Macaca fascicularis: one gene and its partners. The protein of the gene in region 1 interacts with the protein of each later gene in a pairwise test. Links are inferred from orthologs where the notes say so. Each region holds a gene or a part of one and is shown in the gene's direction. Other genes may lie near its edges.

What was found.
Region 2: the proteins of MCMBP (region 1) and PRTFDC1 interact in binary tests that used the Homo sapiens proteins (3 or more experiments, as listed by UniProt). The two-hybrid records come from large-scale screens. The link is inferred for Macaca fascicularis from reciprocal best matches to the Homo sapiens genes MCMBP and PRTFDC1.
Region 3: the proteins of MCMBP (region 1) and ASL interact in binary tests that used the Homo sapiens proteins (3 or more experiments, as listed by UniProt). The two-hybrid records come from large-scale screens. The link is inferred for Macaca fascicularis from reciprocal best matches to the Homo sapiens genes MCMBP and ASL.
Region 4: the proteins of MCMBP (region 1) and DDIT3 interact in binary tests that used the Homo sapiens proteins (3 or more experiments, as listed by UniProt). The two-hybrid records come from large-scale screens. The link is inferred for Macaca fascicularis from reciprocal best matches to the Homo sapiens genes MCMBP and DDIT3.

Annotation. Positions count from the first base shown.
Region 1 is NC_088383.1:128,849,748-128,855,275, reverse strand, and holds part of MCMBP (mini-chromosome maintenance complex-binding protein), read left to right. Parts: intron 1-64; coding exon 65-230; intron 231-1,917; coding exon 1,918-2,051; intron 2,052-3,212; coding exon 3,213-3,377; intron 3,378-5,528. UniProt on the Homo sapiens protein: Associated component of the MCM complex that acts as a regulator of DNA replication.
Region 2 is NC_088383.1:25,634,159-25,639,686, reverse strand, and holds part of PRTFDC1 (phosphoribosyltransferase domain-containing protein 1), read left to right. Parts: intron 1-2,324; coding exon 2,325-2,342; intron 2,343-3,731; coding exon 3,732-3,814; intron 3,815-5,334; coding exon 5,335-5,381; intron 5,382-5,528. UniProt on the Homo sapiens protein: Has low, barely detectable phosphoribosyltransferase activity (in vitro). Binds GMP, IMP and alpha-D-5-phosphoribosyl 1-pyrophosphate (PRPP). Is not expected to contribute to purine metabolism or GMP salvage.
Region 3 is NC_088377.1:60,337,407-60,343,570, reverse strand, and holds the start of ASL (argininosuccinate lyase), read left to right. Parts: upstream 1-2,756; 5' UTR 2,757-2,815; intron 2,816-2,997; 5' UTR 2,998-3,040; coding exon 3,041-3,052; intron 3,053-6,164.
Region 4 is NC_088385.1:64,326,621-64,332,774, reverse strand, and holds the start of DDIT3 (DNA damage-inducible transcript 3 protein), read left to right. Parts: upstream 1-2,038; 5' UTR 2,039-2,153; intron 2,154-2,224; exon of another isoform or gene 2,225-2,259; coding exon of another isoform or gene 2,260-2,322; intron 2,323-4,965; coding exon of another isoform or gene 4,966-5,007; 5' UTR 5,008-5,013; intron 5,014-5,704; 5' UTR 5,705-5,748; coding exon 5,749-5,955; intron 5,956-6,043; coding exon 6,044-6,154. Other genes in the region: DDIT3 upstream open reading frame protein, read left to right, coding at 2,260-2,322, 4,966-5,007. UniProt on the Homo sapiens protein: Multifunctional transcription factor in endoplasmic reticulum (ER) stress response. Plays an essential role in the response to a wide variety of cell stresses and induces cell cycle arrest and apoptosis in response to ER stress.

The DNA of each region.
Region 1 (5,528 bases):
AGTACATATTTTCTTAAAACAGGGAAACTTAAATTCTTGTTCACTAAAAAATTTCTCTTTGCAGTCTTTTCGTCTACAGATGACTATAGAGAACATGAACCATTTGAAATTCATTCCCCACAAAGACTACACAGCCAATCGCTTGGTCAGTGGGCTCCTCCAGCTGCCCAGCAATACTTCCCTTGTAATCGATGAGACTCTCCTGGAACAGGGGCAGCTGGATACCCCAGGTACGTACATAGATGTTTCCCTTCCATTTCTGACTTCCTTTCCACTAAAGCCAGATCTAGGAATAAACTTTTAGAAGAGTATCTATGGACAAAGACAAATTCACATTTAACAAATAACATAAGATAAAGGCTTGGCATATGAATTTGATTAAAGCATGTTATAAACTAATTAAATTGTATATACCAACTCTGTTTTGCCATAGTATTCTGAAAGTAGTACAGTAGAACAGATACTATATATATAAAATGTATCATATCTTCTATCTAATATATATCTTATATATTTTATATATTATTTATAATGGAGCAATAATATAAAGGGTAGTATTAATATAATGGAGTACAATAGAACAGATACTATATTATGTATCATATATCTTATATATTATATATAAAAATAATACATATTTATAGGTTTTATATTTATAATTTATATATAATTTATAATATGAATAATATATAACATGGAGCAATAATATATAAAATATAAATAATATGTAATTAATAATATAAAAATATATAATTGTATATTTTATATATTATTTATAATGGAGCAATAATATAAAGGGTAGTATTAATATAAAGGAGCAGTAATATAAAGGGTAGTATTAGATGTTGAGGGTCATAAGGGTTCTTCGGTGAAAAGTTTTATTGCGTCAGCAGATGGTTGGAGCCATCTGTATGGGCCTACAATGTTGGGTTCTTTGTGTAGTTGTATATAACCTAAAATTTTTCATTCAGTGAGTGTAAGGAACGGTAGACACAGGGTCTCACTATGTTGCCCAGCTGATCTTGAATTCCTGGGCTCAAGTGATCCTCCTGCCTTGGCCTCCCACAGTGCTGGGATTATAGGTGTGAGCCACTGCACCTGCCCCAAATAGCTTTTTAAAAAACTGAAATGGGAAGAAGCTGATCTAACAGATTTTTTTTTTTTTTGGAGACAGACTCTTGCCCTGTTGCCCAGGCTGGAGTTCAGTGGCATAATCTCGGCTCACTGCAAGCTCCAACTCCCAGGTTCACGCCATTCTGCCTTAGCCTCCCGAGTAGCTGGGACTACAGGCGCCCGCCACCATGCCTGGCTAATTATTTTTTAACCTCCCATTGTAAAGTTTTTAAACGTTTTTCAGAGAATATCTGAAAAATAATCAAATGGTTTGCACTAACCTCAGTTATAGAATATATTATAAAATCATAAGAAGCAGATTGTTTACTAGTGCTCAAATGAAGACAATTAAGAATATACTGCTGGTGATCAGCTCAAGAGGTAAAGGTAGAAGAAAAAATGAGGTAGACTGGGCACGTTTAAGGCAAAGGGGAATATAAAATCTGTAAAATTCACTAGGCTGATCTATGTATGAAGGTAGTTTTAGTGTTTCCTTATTTTAGCCCTGTAAATACACCACTTAGAAATAACTGTGCTTGCTTGGGAACTATTTTATGTCTAGGTGCATACCAGATGCTAGGTATTAGATTTGTGGGGGGATCCCCTGGCCCCATAAAGTTCTACCTTGACCAAGAGTGTTGTAAGCCTACACACTTAGTGATGTTTAGCTTAGTAAATTGGACAGCGCCTCATACCCTTTATTAAAAGCGGTAGAAACTTCATGGCTTATCATTGGTGTCAGCAAAACTGATTTGTTGAGATGATTAAAGTCAAATGACTGAAAGTGTTTTCCTGCCTTCGTAGGTGTTCATAATGTAACTGCCCTGAGCAACCTCATAACGTGGCAGAAGGTGGATTATGACTTCAGCTACCATCAGATGGAATTCCCCTGCAATATCAACGTTCTCATTACTTCGGAGGGGAGGTCACTCCTCCCGGTACAATGAGTCATTTTTAAATGGAGGGAGGTTGACATGGGAAAAATACCTACGTTTTTGCTATTTCTTGGTACCGCTTATTAATAAGTTACATTTGTTGTAAAAAAAAACTGTGACTGCTGATCATTAAGGGAACTGAGTATTTTGCACTGCCATGGATGAAAACCTTACATCTGCCAAGCTCAGATATCAGCAAGTCATGAGACCAGCAAGGCTGTTGGCAGCAGAAACACCCACATCAAAGCATAGCAAGATTGCCTGATTTTAACCTCCAGACTTCTGTTCTTGCTGCCTTTGACCCATTGTTTTCTGCTAATCTTATGTGAAAAATATTTTAGAGTTCCTTTGAAAATGTCCTTGGTTACTTGGTAGTTATTTTCATGCTTTACAGTGAAATGCTCTGTTATGTCCTCAGAGCGGCTGGTAAAGAGCGCTTTTAATTCTAAGGAGGATGGGAAATGCTCCCAGTTGTCAAATGGTTTATAGTCTCTGTATAATAGTATTCACCTGTGATTGATGAGAAACAGTCTTTGATAAGAATGAAATGGCTCAAGGATATGTTCTCTGTGTGCAAGTGTGATAGGCCTTTTTAATTAGCTGCTTTTTAGAGGTTGGCTACATTTTTGTGTGCTTATTGATACCATTGAAGTAACCAAGAAAAAGCTAACTTTCATAATTATTTCTGAGGTAGTTATAAAGCATGTAAAGTAATACTAAAAATAGATTCTCACTGGGTGCAGTGGCTCACACCTGTAATCCTAACACTTTGGGAGGCCAAGGCAGGTGGATTGTGTGAGCCCAGAACTTTGAGGCCAGCCTGGACAATGTGACAAAACTTGTCTCTACAAAAAATTCAAAAATTAGCCAGGTGTGGTGGCATGCACCTGTGGTGCCACTACTAAGGAGGCTGAGGTGGGAGGATCGCTTGAGCCTGGGAGGCAGGTTGCAGTGAGCTGTGATCACACCACTGCACTCCAGCCTGGGCGACTGAGCAAAACTCTGTCTTGCACACATACAAAAAAAAAAATTATTCCCTCCCCCTAAATAATAAATGGTATTTTCTAATTCCTGTAGGGGCTGACAGGGATGATGCATCTTTCTTTAAAAATGTAGATTTAATTTAGGAACTCAGAAAATACAGTGTACTTCTTCTCTTTTCAGGCAGACTGCCAGATTCACTTACAGCCCCAGCTAATTCCACCAAACATGGAAGAATACATGAACAGCCTTCTCTCAGCGGTGCTGCCTTCCGTGCTGAACAAATTCCGCATTTATTTAACCCTTTTGAGATTCTTGGAATATAGCATATCTGATGAAATAACCAAGGTATGTCTAGGTTAAAATAAAGGATTTCCCTGTGTTGAATTGCAGTATGCAGCCAATTTACATTTACCATAATTACTGATGAGGTGATTTTGCTATTTGTTTTCTGTCATGTCTTTTTTTATTACTCTATTACTCCATTATTGTCTTTTTGTTTGAAATAGATATTTTCCAGTGTCCCATTTTAATCCCTTGAAGTTACTTTCTTAGTGGCTGCCCCAGGGGGATAAACTTAACATGTTAGTATAATCATCTATTAAGGATTAATGCCAGTTTGTTTAGTTATTTTTAATTTAAAAAAATTTGTGTGGCTAATGCTAGTTTAATTATAATATACAAAGACTTTGCCCCTTTATAATTCCGTCCTTCTCCTCTCCCTTGTGCTGCTGTCATACAGTTACCTCTCTATACATTGTATGTACATCAACACATTTAGAATTACTGCTTTTGCAGTTGTCTAATTTTAGAGAAAAAAGAAACAGAGAAGACTTCTGTACTATTTTTTCTATTTGCCTATGCAGTCACTTTTACCAGCAACCTTTATTTCCTCATGTGGGTTCATGTTACTGCCTAGTATCTTTTCATTTCACCTCGAAGAACTGCCTTTAGTGTTTCTTGCATGGCAGGTCTACTTGTGCAAAAATTTTTTTTTTTTTTTTTTGAGACAGGGTCTCGCTCTGTCACCCAGGCTAGAGTGCAGTGTTGTGATCGTGGCTCATTGCAGCCTCAACCCCCCCAGGCTCAAGCGATCCTCCCACTTCAGCCTCCTGAGTAGTTGGGACTACAGGCATGTGCCAGTGTGCCCAGCTAATTCTTTGATGTGTATGTGGAGATAGGGGTCTCCTTGTGTTGCCCAGGCTAGTCTCAGACTCCTGGGTTCAAGTGATCCTCTGTCCTTGGCCTCCCAAAATTCTGAGATTAGAGGTGTGAGTGACCACGCCCAGCCCTCTTTTAAGTTTTTGTTTATCTGGGAATGTCTTAATTTCTCCTTAAGGCTAGTTTTGCTGGATGTAGAATTCTTGGTTTATAGTCTGTCTCATCATTTCGAGTATGTGCTCCCGCCACTTTCTGGCCTCTTGTTTCTACTGAGAAGCCAGCTAGTTTCTGATGAGGATCCTTTGTACACACTGAGTCGTTTTTCTGTCACTGCTTTCAAGATTCTCTGGCTTTTGACAGTTTTGACTATGATGTGTCTGTGTGTAGATCTCTGAGTTTATCCTACGTGGAGTTTGTTGAGCTTCTTGGAGGTGCAGAATAATTCACATTTTGGGGAAGTTTTCAACAAATTTGGGAAGGTTTTGGCCATGTTTCTTTCTGCATCATTTCTCTCTCCTCTCCCTCTGACACCCCCACTATGTATCTGATGGTGCATTTAATGGTATCCCACAGGTCTTCAAGCCTCTGTTCATTTTTCCTCATTCTTCTTTTTTTGTTCTTAGACTAATCTCAGTGAACTTATCTTCAAGTTTAGTGATTTTCTTCTGCCTAGTCAAATCTGAGTACCTCTAGAGAATTTTTACTATGTTTTTCAACTCCAGAATTTTTAATTTCCTTCTAAAAAATTATTTCTCTCTTTTTATTGATACTATTTGGTGATTCTCATATTTTCCTGAAGTTCTTTTTATGTGGTTTCCTTTAGTTCTTTGAATGTTTAAAATAGCCAACTTAGAGTCTTTTTGTCTGATGTTTGAGTTTCCTCTGGGACAGTTTCTACTGACTCCCTTATCCCCAAAGTGTGAGCCATACCTTCTGGTTTCTTTGTACCTTTTTGTTGAAAACCAGACATTTTATTTGGTCAATGGGGTCTCAGTCTGTCACCCAGGCTGGAATAGTAAGTAGCACAACCACAGCTACACTGCAGCCTTAAACTCCTGGGCTCAAGTGATCCTCTTGCCTCAGTAGCTGGGATCATAAGTGTGCGCCACCATGCCCAACTAAAGTTTTTTGTTTTTGTGTTTTCTTTTTTTTGTAGTGATGAGGTATTGCTTTATTACCCAGGCTGATCAACTCCTGGCTTCAAAGTCCTCCCACCTTGGCCTCCCAGTGTGTTGGGATTACAGGCGTGAGCCACCACACCTAGCCACAACCAGACATTTTAAATTATATATTATGACAACTCTGCTTGGGAAGTTAGACTCTGGAAATTAAACCTCC
Region 2 (5,528 bases), about 100 Mb from region 1:
TTACAGAAGGGGTTTCAATATACTAAAATATATTGAAAGAATGGTGCCTTGCTTCAAAAATAGACAAAATAATCTTATGTATTTCCATGATAAAATTAAGATTTTCAATGGATTTAATGAATAAAAATGTCATACCTGACAGAAAAACACTTCCAAGAAGATATTTTCACATAAGAATGCATTTGACATATGGTGCAAAGTTAACAGAGTTGTTGGTTGGCTGGTTTGGTGGGTGGGTGGTTAACATTTTTATTAATTAAATCTTGCATTAAACATAAGTAAGTTATCTAATGTGTAGTATTTGATCTGATTTTTTTTTTCTTTTGAGATGGAGTCTTACCTGTCACCCAGGCTGGAGTGCAGTGGCGCAATCTTGGTTCACTGCAACCTCCACCTCCCAGGTTCAAGTGATTCTCCCGCCTCAGCCTCCTGAGTAGCTAGGATTACAGGCACCTACCACCACACCCAGCTAATTTTTGTATATTTTAGTAGAGACGGGGTTTCACCAAGTTGGCCAGGCTGGTCTCGAACTCCTGACCTCAGGTGATCCACCCACCTCGGCCTCCCAAAGTGCTGGGATTACAGGCGTGAGCCACTGTGCCGGGTCATGATTCTTAAAGTATTGTATAAATCATAGAGATAAATGTAAAGTCATCTAAAGAAAGAAAAACACCATTACATTGAAAGAATAGTCTCACCATTTAGTAAATTGGGATGGCATATTAACACAGTCATATTTTAATTTGGTGGGGCAGCATTGACATGTCACTCCTAATCCAATTAATCGGTCAGTTTTAACTCAGTAATAAGTTTAATCAGTTGTTATTGCTTTATTCAACAAATAATTATTGAGCACTTATATGCAGGCATTATGCTAGTTTCTGGCAATATGGTAGGAATCGAGACAAACATGATCCCCACCTCATGGCGATTAGAATATAGTGGGGAAGACATATCAAACAAGAAATTAAAATGTAGTACAATCATCGTGTATTAGTCCTTCCTCACACTGATATAAAGAAATACCTGAGACTGGGTAATTTATCAAGAGAAAAGGTGTAGGTGGCTCTCAGTTCCACAGGCTGTATAGGAAGCATGACGCTGGCATCTGTTCTGCTTCTGGGGAGGCTTCAGGAAACTTAAAATTATGGCAGAAGGCAGCCGGGTGTGGCGGCTCGTGCCTGTAATCCCAGCACTTTGGGAGGCCAAGAAGGGCAGATCACTTGAGCTCCTAAGTTTGTGACCAGCCTGGCCAACATGGTAAAACTCCATCTCTACTGAAAATACAAAAATTAGCCAGGCGTGGTGGTGCACACCTGTAATCCCAGCCATGTGGGAAGGTGAGGTGGGAGAATCGCTTGAACCCGGGAAGCGGAGGTTACAGTGAGCGGAGATCGCACCACTGCACTGCAGCCTGGGTGACAGAGTGGGATGCTGTTTCAAAAAAAAAAAAAAATTATAGCAGAGGCAAAGGGAGAGCAGCACTTCACATGTCTGGAGACAGACATGGAGCAAGAGAAAGAGGGGGAGGTGTCCTACACCTTTAAACAACCAGATTTCAGGGCAACTCACTATCAGGACACCACCACCAAGGGACGTGATGCTAAACCATTCATGAGACCCACCCCCCTGATCCAGTCACCTCCCACCAGGCCCCGCCTCTAGCGCTGAGGATTACGTTTCAGCATATTTGGGCAGGGACACAAATCCAAACCATATCACAGTGTGCTTAGGGAAGAGGTAGAGGAATGCCTTGAGACCTTGTTGCAAGGAATCTAACCATCTCACTAAAAATACACACCAGGCACCTCCCAGTCCTTTCTCTAGCCTACTGTCTTCATCTAGGTTGGCAATCCAAGAGGAAATCCTGAGTCCCCAGGGATTTTGGTGGTCGTGCAAGAGGAAGGCTGTCACAGCTGAACCCATGATGCATTTACCAAGCACAATCTCCGTTAGTGATGCGGTTCATGTTGCATTGTTTTCCTGGGAAACTCTTAACAGGCTTTGCCTCCCAGGTGGGGGTGGGAGGCCCTTGGCAGAATTACTGAGAAGGGATGACTTTATGGAGAGCTCGTCAGACAGGTCTAACATAAGCTTGTTTCTAACCTAAATATAGATACTAACATTGCATCACCAACTAATGCCGGAGGACCTGTTAAAATGAATCTGGAAAACCTAGATCACCTCTAGTCCTTTGAATTAGATGGATGGGGAAGGACTGTCTGAGCAAATTGTGAAATTCTAACTATAAGCAAAAAAATGTGTATGTATCCTGTGAGTCAGATTGGCATCGCATTCTAAAATACGGGTTTTGTTTATTTCAGAATGTTCTCATTGTTGAGGTAAGCTGGCATTTCCTTTCCATACTTGGAGGTTGAAAGACTCTAATGGTGAGTTTTAAACTGCACACCTTGTTATCAAATTGACCAAGGATTTCTTGAGCTCCCACTGGGTGCATGCTCTCCAAATTTAATGAATACGGGCCAAATAGCATCCCTGATTTCAAATAATGTAGAATAAGAGCTTGGCAACAATATTTGTGGACGACTTTGTCCTTTTTGTGTATCCAGTTCCACGTATCTCTGTGTTGATTCTTATGGTTCTTTGTGAATCAGACAAGTTTAAAGAAGAGGAAACTAGCTCACCGAACCAAATTCATTTCACAATGAAACCAAGGTTAGAACTCTGTTTGCCCTGAATTCAGTGTTTTTGCTAAGGACCTCTGACGATTTTGAGAATTCTCAAATACTTTCAGCATCAAAATCATAAACACAATCAATTAAAAATGGTGAGCTATGGGGAAAGCTATGGTTTTGGGTTTTTTTGGTTTTGTTTTGTTTTGTTTTACGTTTGTTTTTCTGTTAAAAAAGAGAACGTGGGATCCCTATGGCAGTAGTGGACTAATACAGCAAATGGCCACGTTTCCTTCAGGAGCATGCTCGTCTCATCAAACAGCAAAAAATTCAGGGGAGCTATTTTCAACCTTTTGCTACACAATTGCCTGTGTGCGCCATGTGTATCTGGAGTTCTTGCTCAGTATAACCCATGGAGCAGACCCTCTCACCAAATGAATTGCCCAAGCCTGGTTACATTCAGACCTGTTGTTTTGATAATCAGCTCGTGACAGCTGATTCCTGTCCTTAGGACAATAAATCGCGGCTGCCCATTCTCCTCTAATTGTGCAGCAGCTCATCAGCGGAGATGAGCCCGAGCTCACTGCAGCCGTGGACCCTCAGAATTCACAGGCTGTCACCAGCTGCTGTCCAGACACCTCTCACTTCCCAGCCATAGAATGCCCTATTGAGTGGGGGAGGATGAGGGGGAGGCATTTATCCATTCAGTGTATTCAGATGTACATATCCATGAAAATTCATGTGCCTTGTATTGTGTTACATAACCTCAGGGCCAAATTTAGTCCTTGAATGTGCATACGCGAGTCCAAATGTACTCAATGAGGAGTCCCACATGCTGTCCAAAGGCTAAATTTGGCCCTTCAACACAGCTAAAGGATTCAAGGAGGAAAGAGTCTCCGGTAGATTCCCCAAAACTCAGCTTCCAGAAGGAAGTGCCTGTCTAGATAAAACATAACCCACTCCTCCTCCTCCTTTGGCTCCAAATTGGATGGCATTTTTAATTACGATGCATTATTAATCAGGAGTATCGCCCTGGATGAAAAGTCTGTTGTGCTGCTCAGATGCACTTTGTTGAATTTATCTGTCCTTTCTGCAAAGGATGTCGTCGGAACTGGGAGGACCATGAAAGCACTACTCAGCAATATAGAGAAATACAAGCCCAACATGGTTAAGGTAGCCAGGTGAGTTGGACATTCATAGCATGGTGATTTCTGGTTTTCCAAGCAAGCCCAAAAGGTATGCTAACACAGGATGCTCTTTCCAAACAGTATAATATATTCCAATCTAGTGACCTTTTCCCCTGGGGTATTACAGTTTGACCACACTGAAAAGCAGCCCTTGACTGCTAGCCTGAGAGAAGAAAGGGAAGAAGACGTGCTTCGCCATGTTTCTGAGTTCCTCTTTACTGAGCCTCCATTAGCTGTTTCCAGGAGCAGCTGGATGAGCCCCCGTGCAATTGCTCTTCTCCCTTCATTTTTTTGTTTGTTTGTGTTGAGACACAGCCTTTCTCTGTCGCCCAGGCTGAAGTGCAGTGGCACAATCTCAGCTCACTGCAACCTCTGCCCTCTGAGTTCGAACAATTCTCATGCCTCAGCTTCCCAAGTAGCTGGGACTACAGGCGCCCGCCACCGTGCCTAGCTAATGTTTTGTATTTTTAGCAGAGATGAGCTAGGGTTTCACCATGTTGGCCAGGATGGTCTGAACTCCTGACCTCAAGTGATCTGCCTGCCTCAGCCGCCCCAAGTGCTAGGATTACAGGCATGAGCCACTGCACCCAGACCTTTTTTAGAGCAAGAGACAGGGTCTTGCTCTATGATCACAGTAGTGTGATCATAACACACTGCAGCCTCAAACTTCTGGGCTCAAGTGATCCTCCCACCTCAACCTCCTGAGTAGCTAGGTACAGCTACCCCCTATTTTTTGTTTGTTTGTTTTTTTGTTTGAGATGGAGTCTTGCTCTGTCACCCAGACTGGAGTGCAGTGGTGCAGTCTCAGCTTACTGCAACCTCAACCTCCTGGGTTCAAGTGATTCTCTTGCCTCAGACTCCCATGAAGCTGAGACTACGGATGCATACCACCATGCCCAGCTAATTTTTGTATTTTTAGTAAAGATGCGGTTTCACCATGTTGGCCAGGCTGGTCTCAAACTTATGAGCTCAAGTGATCTGCCCTTCTTGGCCTCCTAAAGTGCTGGAATTATAAGCATGAGCTACCATGCCTGACTGACAGCTACCTTTTTTAAAAGTTTTTTATATTTTATCTATTTTTTGGGACAGGGTCTCACTCTGTCACCTAGGCTGGAGTGCAGTAGTGCAGTCATGGCTCACTGCAGCCTTCAACTCCTGGGCTAAAACAATCCTCCCACCTCAGCCTCCCAAGTAGCTGGGACTACAAGCAGGTGCCACCACACCCAGCTAAATTTTTTATTTTTTTGTAGAGACAGGGGTCTCGCTATGTTGCCCAGGTTGGTCTTGAACCTCTGGGCTCAAGTGATCCTCCCACCTTGTACTCCCAAAGCACTGGGATTACAGATGTAGGCACTGTGCCTGACCTGCTCTCTTCTTTTTATCCAGAACCGTCTATATAGTGCCATAGTAGCAAAATATGTATTTCAACTACATCTTTTAATGATGCTTGATTCTATTTACAATTCATAGAGATTTGATTGGGTTCACTAAAGCATGTCTTTTTTTAATGGTAGTTTGTTGGTGAAGAGAACACCCAGAAGTGACGGCTTTAGACCTGACTGTAAGTGATTTTTAGTTTTTTGTTTGTTTTGTGCTTGTGGTGTTTCATTTTATGTTTAAGAATCTTTGATTTCCTATTTGACAGCACTGCAAGTGGAGTTGAAACTGTGTAGGGCTGATAGTCCCACAGATTCCTCATGGTCTCCCC
Region 3 (6,164 bases), on another chromosome or scaffold:
AGGGAAGAGCATTTAGGAAGGCTTGAAACAGTCGGATGCATTCTGAGAACTCCAAGTAATTCCACTCTTGAGTTGAGCGAGGGCTAAAAACCTTCAAACCACAACACATTCCAGCCATTAGTCTCTTCTTCTCCCTCCATTTCATCCTCAATACTATAGCTAGATTTATCTTTCTTCCTTCCTTTCTTTCTTTTTTAAGATGGGGTTTCAGCTGGGCACGGTGGCTCACACCTGTAATTCCAGCACTTTGGGAGGCCGAGGCGGGCGGATCACCTGAGGTCAGGAGCTCAAGACCAGCCTGACCAACATGGAGAAATCCCGTCTCTACTAAAAATACAAAATTAGCCAGGCATGGTGGTGCATGTCTGTAACCTTGCTACTTGGAAGGCTGAGGCAGGAGAATCCCTTGAATCTGAGAGGCGGAGGTTGCAGTGAGCCGGGACTGTGCCATTGCACTCTAGCCTGGGCAATAAGAGCGAAACTCTGTCTCAAATAAATAAATAAATAAATAATAAAATAAATGTGGCTCCTCTGATTTTAAAATTGATTTGGGCTCCCTATATGACCTACAGGACCAAGAACAAACTCCTTTTCTTGACATTGAAAACTCTTCACAGCCTTCCCCCAAACTCCTTCCACCTCTCCTCCCTACCTTTTGTTATAATTATAGCCACTTGGATGATTTCCTGTTCTTAAAGCAGGCCAGTCACCTTTTTTGTCCAGACTTCTCCCTCTGCCTGGAATGTTCTTCTCCCCTTCCTCCCTGGGCAAATTCCCCCCATCTTCCAAGACCCAATTCAGAGGACAGGTTCACTAGAAGCCCCTTCAGGGTACTCCCAGTGCCTAGAATCCAGCCTGTCATTTTGGTTAAATAATTAATTAATCAGATCAAGGACATCTTCCCTGAGTACCCAATATAGCCCCCCAACGCTCCACCCCCATGCTTCCTGCACACCTCCTCTATGCTATGTTGGAACTTCTTGAAGTCAGGCTTCATTTCTTTTGTTCTGTTTCTTTCTTTCTCCTTCCTTCCTTTCTTCCCTCCTCTTCCCTCCTTCCCTCCTTCACTCCTTACTTTTTTTTTTTTTTTTTTTTGAGATGGAGTCTCGCTCTGTCGCCCAGGCTGGAGTGCAGTGGTGCGATCTCAGCTCACTGCAAGCTCCGCCTCCTGGGTTCACGCCATTCTCCTGCCTCAGCTTCCGGAGTAGCTGGGACTACAGGCGCCCGCCAACATGCCCGGCTAATTTTTTTGTATTTTTAGTAGAGACGGGGGGTTTCACCTTGTTAGCCAGGATGGTGTCGATCTCCTGACCTCGTGATCCGCCTGCCTCGGCCTCCCAAAGTGCTGGAATTACAGGCGTGAGCCTCTGCGCCGGTCCCCCCACCTTTTTTTTTTTTTTTTTTTTTTTTTTGCAGTCTCACTCTGTTGCCCAGGCTGGAGTGCAGTGGCACGATCTCAGCTCACTGCAACCTCCACCTCCCTGGTTCAAGTGATTCTCCTGCCTGAGTAGCTGGGACTACAGGCGCCCACCACCACACGCCCACCACCACACCCGGCTAATAGAGACAGGGTTTCAGCATGTTAGCCAGGCTGGTCTCGAATTCCTGATCTCAGGTGATGCGCCCGCCTCAGCCTCTCAAAGTGCTGGAATTAAAGGCATGAGCCACGGTGCCCGGCCTTTTTTCTTTTTTTCCTTTCTCTCTTTCTTTTTTGAGATGGAATCTTGCTCTGTCATCCAGGCTGGAGTGCAATGGCACGATCTCAGTTCACTGCAATCTCCACCTCCCAGGTTCAAGCGATTCTCCTGCCTCAGCCTCCCGACTCGCTGGGATTACAGGCACCCGCCACCGTGCCCGGCTAATTTTTGTATTTTTAGTAGAGATGGAGTTTCACCATCTTGGCCAGGCTGGTCTCAAACTCGTGACCTCATGATCCACCTGCCTCGGCCTCCCAAAGTGTTGGGATTACAGGCGTGAGCCACCGCGCCCGGCCTGCGGCGGCATTTCTTTTCTTTTTTAGAGGAATCAGGCTGGAGTGCAGTGACACAATATCTCACTGCAGCCTCGAACTCCTGGGTTCCACTGCTCCTCCCACCTCAGCCTCCTCAGTAGCTAGGACTGCAGGCGTGCACCACCACGCCCGGCTATTTTCTTTTTTAAATTAATTTTTTGTAGAGGCGAGATCTTGTTACATTGCCCAGGCTGATCTCCAACTCTTAGCCTCAAGCGATCCTCCCACCTCTGCCTCCCAAAGTGCTGGGATTACAGCTGTGAGCCACCGCGCCTGGCACGGGCTTTATTTCTGATGTTCCTTCCTTTTTCCTCGATGCCTTTCTAACTCTGTACCTGGCACATAGAAGTGCTTGGTACGTGTTTGTTGAATGAATGAATTAATGGGCGAACATGCCATTTCACCTTATATATCTTGTGAACCCGCCAGGCCCGGGCCTGATGTCATAGCCTTTACCCCTGGCCCGAGTCTCCAGTCTCCTGCGTGTCTGCTCACCGCAGCGCGAACGCCAGGGCACTACCCTCCCCAACCCCAGCCCAACCCCCTTCCACATCGGGGCCCCCCCGACCCTTTACCCGCCCGCTTCCCCGCCGCGGTGCAGCTCAGCTCCTAGGTCAGCCGGAGGTGTCCCCGCCCACAGCCAGGATTGGAGGACGGAGGCAACGCCCAACCCACTGGGCTGCCTCCTATTGACGCGGCCGCCGCCAGGGGTGGGGACAGGGCCGGCGGCTGCTGACGCCATCCCATAGCCAGAAAAGCCCTGGCCAGTGGCGGGCGCGACAGTGTCCGTGCGACCAGGCGGAGGTGAGTGCGCGGCGGCCGGATGGGCGGGACGGGCGTGGAGGACGCCGAGAATGGTGGCATGCGCTCACGTCCGTGTTCCCAAGGGCTGCGCTCGGCCAAGCGCAGTGCCCAGAGCTCGGAGCCAGCCTGGCCCGGGGGACCCTGCTGGCCAAGGAGGTCGTCAGTCCGGTCTTGTCTTCCAGACCCGGTGGACCGAAGCTTCCGGACGACGAGGAACTGCCCAACATGGCCTCGGAGGTGAGTGGGACCTCGGGGACGCCGGTCCTCCCAGCCTCCAAACGAGAGGGTGGGGGCGCCAGACCTGCCTCGGGCCACCCTGCTGGGAATCGCCCTCCAGGAAGTAATTTTGAAAATTACCCAGGAAGCCGGCACCCCCACCCCTCCCGGGCGCATCTTCTGGAGCTCAGCAGTCACCTTTACTGGGACTCACCTGTGTCCCCAGGCAGCCCTTTTGGCAAATCCACCAACCCACACTACTAGGGGTAGAGTGGCTCTGCCCTCACCTCACAGTGATGCCTGCCTGGCCAGGAAAAGTGCTCCCAAGCCTTCAGCCTTCCACCTCTTCATTCCTTCTTCCCCATGTCCTTTTGTCAGGTCCCACCCCACACCACATCCCTTCTCCTGCTAGAGCAATTGTCCCTGTTTATAGAATAAGGCTTAGCCCCTAAGTGTTCTTGTCCTTGACTGTGGCATGTGGAAAGAACCAAGAAAAAGGGGACCTCGCCTTGTGACTCCAGCAACCCCAGTGCCTGGTTCCCTTCCTGTCTCACTGGACCCTGCTCCTTAGGGTCAGTGGCTCCTGGCTTCTCTTCCTGACCACTGAGATGCTGGAGTCCCAAGCAGAGGTTTCCTTCCTTTGGGCCACAGTTGATTTATCTGGCAATGGGGGTAATAATAGCTGTTGGCCTCCCTCTGTAAGGCACTAGATTATGAGGCCATTGCTTTGGACCCTTCAGGGGAAAGGGGCTGTTCACCTGATGCTTGATGAAGGGAACCCCGGGAAGCAGGAGGTCTGGGTTCCAGGCCCTTCTGGCCTTCATTAGCTAGCAATTCACTTCCTTTTACTCAGTGCCCTGCAAGCTTCTGGGCCATGGGCGGGGGGCAGGGGAGCAGGGCCTGGACTTCGGAGCCAAACAGACTTGGTTTCTGTACCAGTCACTTGGGCCCTCCAAACCTCTTTCCTCATTTGTGAAATAGGGGTGATATTGCCCACCTCATAAAAGGCCATAATAACGTATGTCAAATCCCTAGCACAGGGCTGAGCAACAGTAGGTGCTCAATAAATGGTGGCTAACCACAACAGTACTGATATTTCTACTTTGGGAAGCCGAGGCGGGAGGATTGCTGAAGCCCAGGAATTCCAGACCAGCCTGGGCAACATAGTGAGATCCTGTCTCTACAAAAAAATTTTGAAAATTACGCAGGTGTGGTGGTGTACACCTGTAGTCTCACAGGAGGCGGAGGCAGGAGGATTGCTTGAACCCAGAAGTTTGAGACTGCAGTGAGCATGATCTCACCCTGCACTCCAACCCAGGCAACAGAATGTGATCCAGTTTCAAAAAATAAAAATAGAAAACCCTGCCAGTCATGGTGGTTCACACCTGAAATCCCAGCACTTTGGGAGGCCGAGGCGGGTGGATCATCTGAGGTCAAGAGTTTGAGACCAGCCTGGCCAACATGGTGAAACCCCATCTCTACTAAAAATGCAAAAATTAGCCGGGTGTGGTGGTGGGTGCCTATAGTCCCAGCTATTTGGGAGACTGAGGCAGGAGAATCGCTTGAACTCAGGAGGCGGAGGTTGCAGTGAGCTGAGATCGCACCACTGCACTCCAGCCCTGGGGACAAAGCAAGACTCTTCCTCAAAAAAGGAAAAAAACCCACAAATCCCAAAACCAAAACTGATATTTCCCATGTACATTCGCCCTTGACTGTTGCTCTTTCAACCCAGCCCAACTCAGTGCCCCATCCCCTGGCCCTGAAGAGACCATTCTGGCCCAGATGTGTCCTGGCTTGCAGTAGCACCTTCTGCTACCACACTGGGCTTCCCCTCTCCTCAGTGCCCAAAGGGAGGCACCTCACCCTGATCTCCCCGTAGGGTCCTATTATGCCTGCCAGTAAGGATAGGAGTTTGGTCTGGAGCACAGTAGTCTGGCTTCCCACAAGCCCAGTGCTCCAGGTGACCTCAGCTTGCCCCAGACCTTCCTGTAGGTTGGCACTAATTGGTTTGGCTGCCGCTCCGCTTATTAAGTAGTTGTTTTTATTACTAACAACCTCGGCAGGGTGGCCCAGGAGCCCGCTGGGGGAGGCGGTGCCCGGCTCCCGGCTGAAGGGCAGGCCGGCCCCAATTCTGACTGGCTGGCTCCAGTGATCAGGACCAGGGCCCCACGTGGTGCTTTGCTGGAGAGCTGGGCTTGGTGGGGCAGCTGTGGGGTAAGGGGCAGGACCAGCTCAAAAGACGGGGTGGGGGTGGAGGCTGCCTCTGCAGGGCAGAGTCCTTTGGCAGCCGGGGCTGTTGGGCATGGAGGGGTCAGCTCACAGCTCAGGGCCAGAGCACTGTAGAGGTCTCTGGGGTGCACCCAGGAACCAGGAGCTGAAGCATGTCCTATCCCCTGCCAGCCCTCCCTTAGTAACAGCTGGCATTTCTCAAGTCCTTCCTGAGCACCAGGCACCATGTTATATATGCAATTTGCAAATACGATCTGATTAAATGCTCACAACAAGGCTATCAGATAGGTACTATTATTATCTTTATCTTATTATTATTATCTTTTTTTTTTTTTTTTTTTTTTGAGATGGAGTCTCGCTCTGTCGCCCAGGCTGGAGTGCACTGGCGCGATCTCCGCTCACTGCAAGCTCCGCCTCCCGGGTTCCTGCCATTCTCCTGCCTCAACCTCCGGAGTAGCTGGGACTACAGGCGCCCGCCACCTTGCCCGGCTAATTTTTGTATTTTTAGTAAAAACGGGGTTTCACTGTGTTAGCCAGGATGGTCTCGATCTCCTGACCTCATGATCTGCCTGTCTTGGCCTCCCAAAGTGCTGGGATTACAGGCGTGAGCCACTGCGCCCGGCCCTTAGTATTATTTCTAAGAAGGAGTCTTGCTCTGTTGCCCAAGCTGGAGTGCAATGGCGCCATCTCTGCTCACCACAACCTCTACTTCCAGGGTTCAAGCGATTCTCCTGCTTCAGACTCCCAAGTGGCTGGGACTACAGCTGCCCACCACCGAGCCTGGCTAATTTTTGTATTTTTAGTACAAACGGGGTTTCACCATGTTGGCCAGGCTGATCTTGAACTCCTGACCTCAAGTGATTCACCTGCCTGAGCCTCCCAACCCTGAGGTTTAATAATAGGT
Region 4 (6,154 bases), on another chromosome or scaffold:
GTCGCTGCCGCAGCCACCGCCGCAGCCACCGCCGCCTCCGCCGCTGCCCGGCCGGGAGAGGGGCGGGGCCGGGCCCCCGCCCAGCGGACAGCGACGAGCCAACTGGAGGGGCCGCAGTGCGCATGCGGGAGCGCGCCTACCCCTCCCCCACAACCCCCCATTAATCCCCAAGAGAACAAACACCCCACGCGGCCCCCCTCCCTCCGCGGAAGGATCTGCGCCTCTCCCCAGGCCACTGGTGGCCAATCCCAGCCCTCCTCGGGGAGGGGCCCCTTCCAAAGCCACAGTCTGTTGCGGGAGCCAGGAATGCCAGGTCCGGGAGGGGCCAGGCCCGAAAGATGAAAGTCGCGACTTGCCCTGCCCCGCCCCAAAGGCTTCCCGGGTAGTGTGCTGGGACTTGACCCGCCTCTCCAGGTCAACATGTCACAACACGACCTCGGCCTGTCAAGTCACATGACCTCTGCCTGTCACTGACAACCTGGTCTGTCTTTAGGCCAGGAGAGACCATCTGGTCCACCCCCCACACCACCCCCATTTTCAGAGGGGAAATGGAGGTGTGGAGCAACGGAGCAGCCTAACCAAAGACCTGTCACAGAAACACCACTCCAGTCACAACCGGCCTTGTGACAGTTTCTACTTAAACTCTGGCTGCCCCCATGAGGGTATGACAGGATATGTAACAGGCCACCACATGGCCTCTGTTTTCAAGGCACAAGAAAAATACTTTGCATTCTGCGTGGTGCGTTTTACTTTTGTTCAAGTTGCCTCCAAGTTCATGGTTCTCATTTTACCCTTACAACTCGTTGATTTACAAACAAGGACGGTAAGATCCCTTGGTAAGTGAGGGGGAGTTGAGGCTAAAATCGCGGCCCCGGTCTCCCCAGTCCACGGCGGTCCTGCGCTGAAGTGCACTTACACGTCCCAGGATGAGACTCCGCTGTAAATCTCGACCCGAACACCTAGGAGGCAGGCCTGTGCCGCGCTCCTCACAGCAGGGAGTCACAGGACTTGCTGTCTGGTACAGCAAGAGAGGGTCTTGGTATTGGAGAAAGCCGTAAGAGTATAGTGGGGGAAAATAGGTGGCCAAACAGAATTGGGTCCACTGGGTAAAATACATGACTTCTGGCAGGCTGAGGGCTTAGCAACTCCAAGGTAAAAGTCAAGGGCGCTGTTGTGAGAGAAGCGGAAAATGACTACCAAGGGATTCCAGTACCTCGGCCCCTTTTGGGAGATTTACGGGGCTAGACGACCCCGGTTTTTTTTATTTGTTTTTCGTTTTCGGTGAAACGTAGTCTCGCTCTGTCACCCAGGCTGGAGTGCAGTGGCGCGATCTCGGTCACTGCAACATACGCCACCAGGGTTCAAGCGATTCTCCTGCCTCAGCCTCCAGAGTAGCTGGGATTACAGGCGCGCATCACCACACCCGGCTAATTTTTGTATTTTTAGTAGAGACGGGGTTTCACCATGTTGGTCAGGCTGATCTGGAACTCCTGACCTGAAGTGATCCGCTCTCCTCAGCCTCCCAAAGTGCTGGGATTATAGGCATGAGTCACCGAGCCCGGAGACCTCTCTAAGACTCTCGAGATGTCGACAATCCCAGTGGATGGATACCAACTTTCAAAGGAAAAGTTCAAAAGGCCTATATGACCATTAGCTGGGAGGGGCCAAGGAAAATGGGAGTCCCTTATAGTGGAGGTAAAACGCCGGCTAAAGCTCGGTGGGCGGAACAGCAGCTTCTGGGGGAGACAAGCGGCAAAGAGGCTCCACACGACCGACTACGGACGGCCAACGCTGATAGCCGTTGGGGCCGTTGGGCGCCGGGAGCTGGCGCCCCGCCCTCTCTCCTTTCCCCCACCCTCTGCACCTCCCACCACCCTCGTAGTCCCCTGCGCGTGCGCGTGCAGACACCAGTTGCCAAACATTGCATCATCCCCGCCCCCCTTTCCTCCCCTCCCCCCGCTACACTCCCCTCCGCGCGCGCGCATGACTCACCCACCGCCTCCGTGAAGCCTCGTGACCCAAAGCCACTTCCGGGTCCGACACTACGTCGACCCCCTAGCGAGAGGGAGCGACGGGGGCGGTTCTGCGGAGCTCCTGAGTGGCGGATACGAGGGACGAGGCGGGGCCAATGCCGGCGTGCCACTTTCTGATTGGTAGGTTTTGGGGTCCCGCCCCTGAGAGGAGGGCAAGGCCATGGTAAAAGATTACAGCTAGGCGCTCCCGAGGTCAGAGGCTTAAGTCTAAGGCACTGAGCGTATCATGTTGAAGATGAGCGGGTGGCAGCGACAGAGCCAAAATCAGAGCTGGAACCTGAGGAGAGAGGCGAGTACTGACTCCCATCTGCCCTTTGCCCTCCCGTCTCCTCAGAGTTGGGGCATCCGCTCTTTAGGATTGGCCTCACGCCTCCACAGTGAAGTCAGGGACCGTCCGAGAGAGGAATGGGGAGAGTCCCTTATTCTGGGGTGGTGCTTACAAACCCCCATTGCTTCGGACGACAGCGTCTCTCCACCCCTGCCCGGAGCCGGAGCATGGGCCCTGCTCTGTGCTGCTGGGCAAAGGGACCTCGGCTGCCCTAGGGAAATTCATTCTCTCCCGTAGCCAACTTCAGGCCACCTCGTTAGGCCTGTCCGCGGGGAGGCAGCAGGACACACCCCCGCTCTAAGACTGAGTTACCATCGCTCAAACCGTTTCCGCCCGTTCGCCACCATCGGCCTTCTCCCTACCCTACCCCCAATCCTGTCTCAGTCTCAGCGTCTCTGGTGTCAGCATGGCCACCTCGGTAGCTGGGGCTACTGGACCCTGCAGGGCTGAAAGGGGAACCTTGACACAAGCCTTTGGGAGGGGTGCCGATGGACAGGGAGCGGTGTGTTTTCCCTTTGCCGTAGAGGTCTCTGGGCCTCCCGCACAAGAGAGCAGCCTGGATCTCTTAAGTGTAGGAGGCCATTTGGGGTCTCCCCAGGGTATCGTCCTTCCCTCGGGATTAGTCCCTGCCTCTTTAACCCGGTCCTGTCTCCCAGCTAATCTCTGTGTAACCATTGCATCAGGCCAGCCCCGTTTGGCTCTGCAGCCTTCTGACCTGAGGCTCCACTGCTGATGAAAGCCAAGTCCCACGCACTGGAAGGCAAGGGAGGGTTCCCCAGGGAAGACAGCCCTGCAGAGAAATATTTCGGGCAATATTGCATCTCCAGTCCCTAGGGATCGGCAGCTGCCACTCTGCGTCTGCCCCTTCCCTATAAGAGAGATTGGGGAGAATTCATTCATTCTTAACAAATACTTAATGAGGACCTACTGTGTGCCAAACAGTTTGGGGCTCAGGGAACATCCGTGAGCAAGAGGAAAAAATCATCTCAGTGGGAGGCCTACAGTAAACAAAATATAAGTGCCATGGAGAAAGCTAAAGCAGAGAAAGGAATGGAGAATGTTCAGGATGGAGGTTACTGTGTTACATCAGGTGGTCAGGAATTACCTTAGGTAATTCCTCCTCTCAAAACCCTCCAATGACTTCCCTGACATGACATAGGAAGTCACTGGAGAGTTTTGAGCAGAGGAATGACCTGTTTTAAAAGGTTCACTCAGGCTGCTGTATGGTGAATAGACTTACGGAGGGGTGGCAAGAGAAGAAATGGGAAGACCTTCTGCAATCAGGAAGTTTCTGCAGTAATTGAGAGATGGTGGTGAATTGATCTAGATTGGAAAGAATGGAATTAGAGGTGTTTAAATTCTTCTAAGCAAAGTTTTAAAAACTCATTTTTAAAGAATGAGTTAAGGGCCGGGCATGGTGGCTCATGCCTGTAATCCCAGCACTTTAGGAGACCAGAGGAGTGGATCACACGAAGTCAGGAGTTCAAGACCAGCCTGGCCAACGTGAAACCCCATCTTTACTAAAAATACAAAAATCAGCCAGGCATGGTAGTGCATGCCTGTAATCCCAGCTACTCAGGAGGCTGAGGCAGGAGAATCGCTTGAACCCAGGAGGCAAAGGTTGCAGAGCGGAGATTGTGCCACTGCCCTCTAGCCTGGGCAAAAAGAGGGAGACCCGTCTCAAAAAAAAAAAAAAAAAAAGTTAAAATTTGCTAGTACTTTGGATTGCAGGGTGTGAGAGGAATGAAGGATGATACCAAGGTTTTTAGCTTAAGCAACTAGAGTTGTCATCTGAGATGGGGATGACCTTGGAAGGGGAAAATCAACAAGTTTGCACATAGTCTTAGGTACCTATTAGACATTGAAAAAGAAATGGCAAGTAGGCAGTAGACAGCAGAGTCGGAAGTTCTGGAAGAGGTCCAGACTGGAAATACACATTTGGAGGATGTCAGTGTGGGAATGGAGTTAGGAAAATGCTACAGGATGTCAGTGTGGGAATGGAGTTAGGAAAATGCTACGATTTGTTCCCTTCCCTATAGTTTAGTCTTTACCCTGGCAGGTTTAAGGCCTGCCTTGAATTTAGAGAAAGCTGAGTTGGCCAGAACTTTGCTATTATGTAACCAGGACTACAAATGTCAGCAACTAAAAATAAAGTCAGGCCCTCTTCTGCCCTTGGAAATGGCTACAGGGACCAAGTATGCATACCCCACAAGACCAGAAGTAAGGACGGACCAGTAGGAGGCTGGAGATAAAAGAAAAATAAGGGCCCAGCATGGTGGTTCACGCCTATAATCCCAGCACTTTGGGAGGCGAGTAGATCACAAGGTCAAGAGATGGAGACCATCCTGGCCAACACAGTGAAACCCCATCTCTACTAAAAACACAAAAATTAGCTGGGCACGGTGGTATGCACCTGTAGTCCCAGCTACTTGGGAGGTTGAGGCAGAAGAATCGCTTGACCCTGGAGGCAGAGGTTGCAGTGAGCCGAGATTGCGCCACTGCACTCCAGCCTGGCAACAGAGACTCCGTCTCAAAAGAAAAGAAAAAAATAAGTTGCCTCTCCCCCTTCCAAAAATGGCTAACATTTCTCTTTGTTGCCTACAGTGTTCAAGAAGGAAGTGTATCTTCATACATCACCACACCTGAAAGCAGGTAAACTTAACCTACCCTTTCCCAAAACCAAGTCCTAAGAGATGCTGCTTAGCCTCCTTTTGCTGAGACCCTAAGAGATTATGAAAAGACCTAGAGAAGGTGGGAAAGGAGGGTTTGAATCTGAGCAAGCTTTTGCTATCAGGCTGTCTATTCTCCTGGCTTGCTCCTACAAGGTGAGCAAACCACTTTTCTTAAAGAATGTCCTAATGGAAAGATGGTCCTCAAAGAAAGCCCCAACAAAGACAACTGGTTTGCCTTACCAGTCTTCAGTCAGGGTTAAACTTTCACTAGTCTTCAGTCCCACTTGCAAACTCTATTGATAGTTTCCAGGAGCAATTACCAGGTCATTTGTGCTCCCTTCTCCTGTGTGGGGAGCTCAGGGAAATAGTCCTTCAGCTCAGCCTAACCTTGATGGGGACAGGAATTTGACTAGTCCTCCAGATCCCCTAAGCATGGATATCCAGGCACTTTGCTTCTTCAAGTCCTGGGCAAAAGCAAGGAGGGAATATTAATATAAACTAGGAGTTGATAAATTTTAAAGGGCAGGATAATAAATATTTTAGATGTTAAGAGCCCTATGGTCTCTAGCGTGACTCTTCATCTCTGCCACTGTAGCACCAAAGCAGCCATAAACAGTATGTAAATAAACAGATGTGGTTGTATTCCAATACAACTTTACCTACAAAAACAGGCATCAGACCAGCTTGCCAACCTGTGGCATAGACTGTTTGCTACATGGAGCTTGTTCCAGCCACTCCCCATTACCCTGCAAATGTGCTTTTCCAGACTGATCCAACTGCAGAGATGGCAGCTGAGTCATTGCCTTTCTCCTTCGGGACACTGTCCAGCTGGGAGCTGGAAGCCTGGTATGAGGACCTGCAAGAGGTCCTGTCTTCAGACGAAAATGGGGGTACCTATGTCTCACCTCCTGGAAATGAAGAGGTAAGAATGCTAGGCCTAAAGCTAAAGGGGGATGTTATCTTTTCCTTCTCAATTAATATCTACGTTCCCTTTCTTCATTTCCTTGAAGGAAGAATCAAAAACCTTTACCACTCTTGACCCTGCTTCGCTGGCTTGGCTGACTGAGGAGGAGCCAGAACCAGCAGAGGTCACAACCACCTCCCAGAGCCCTCGCTCTCCA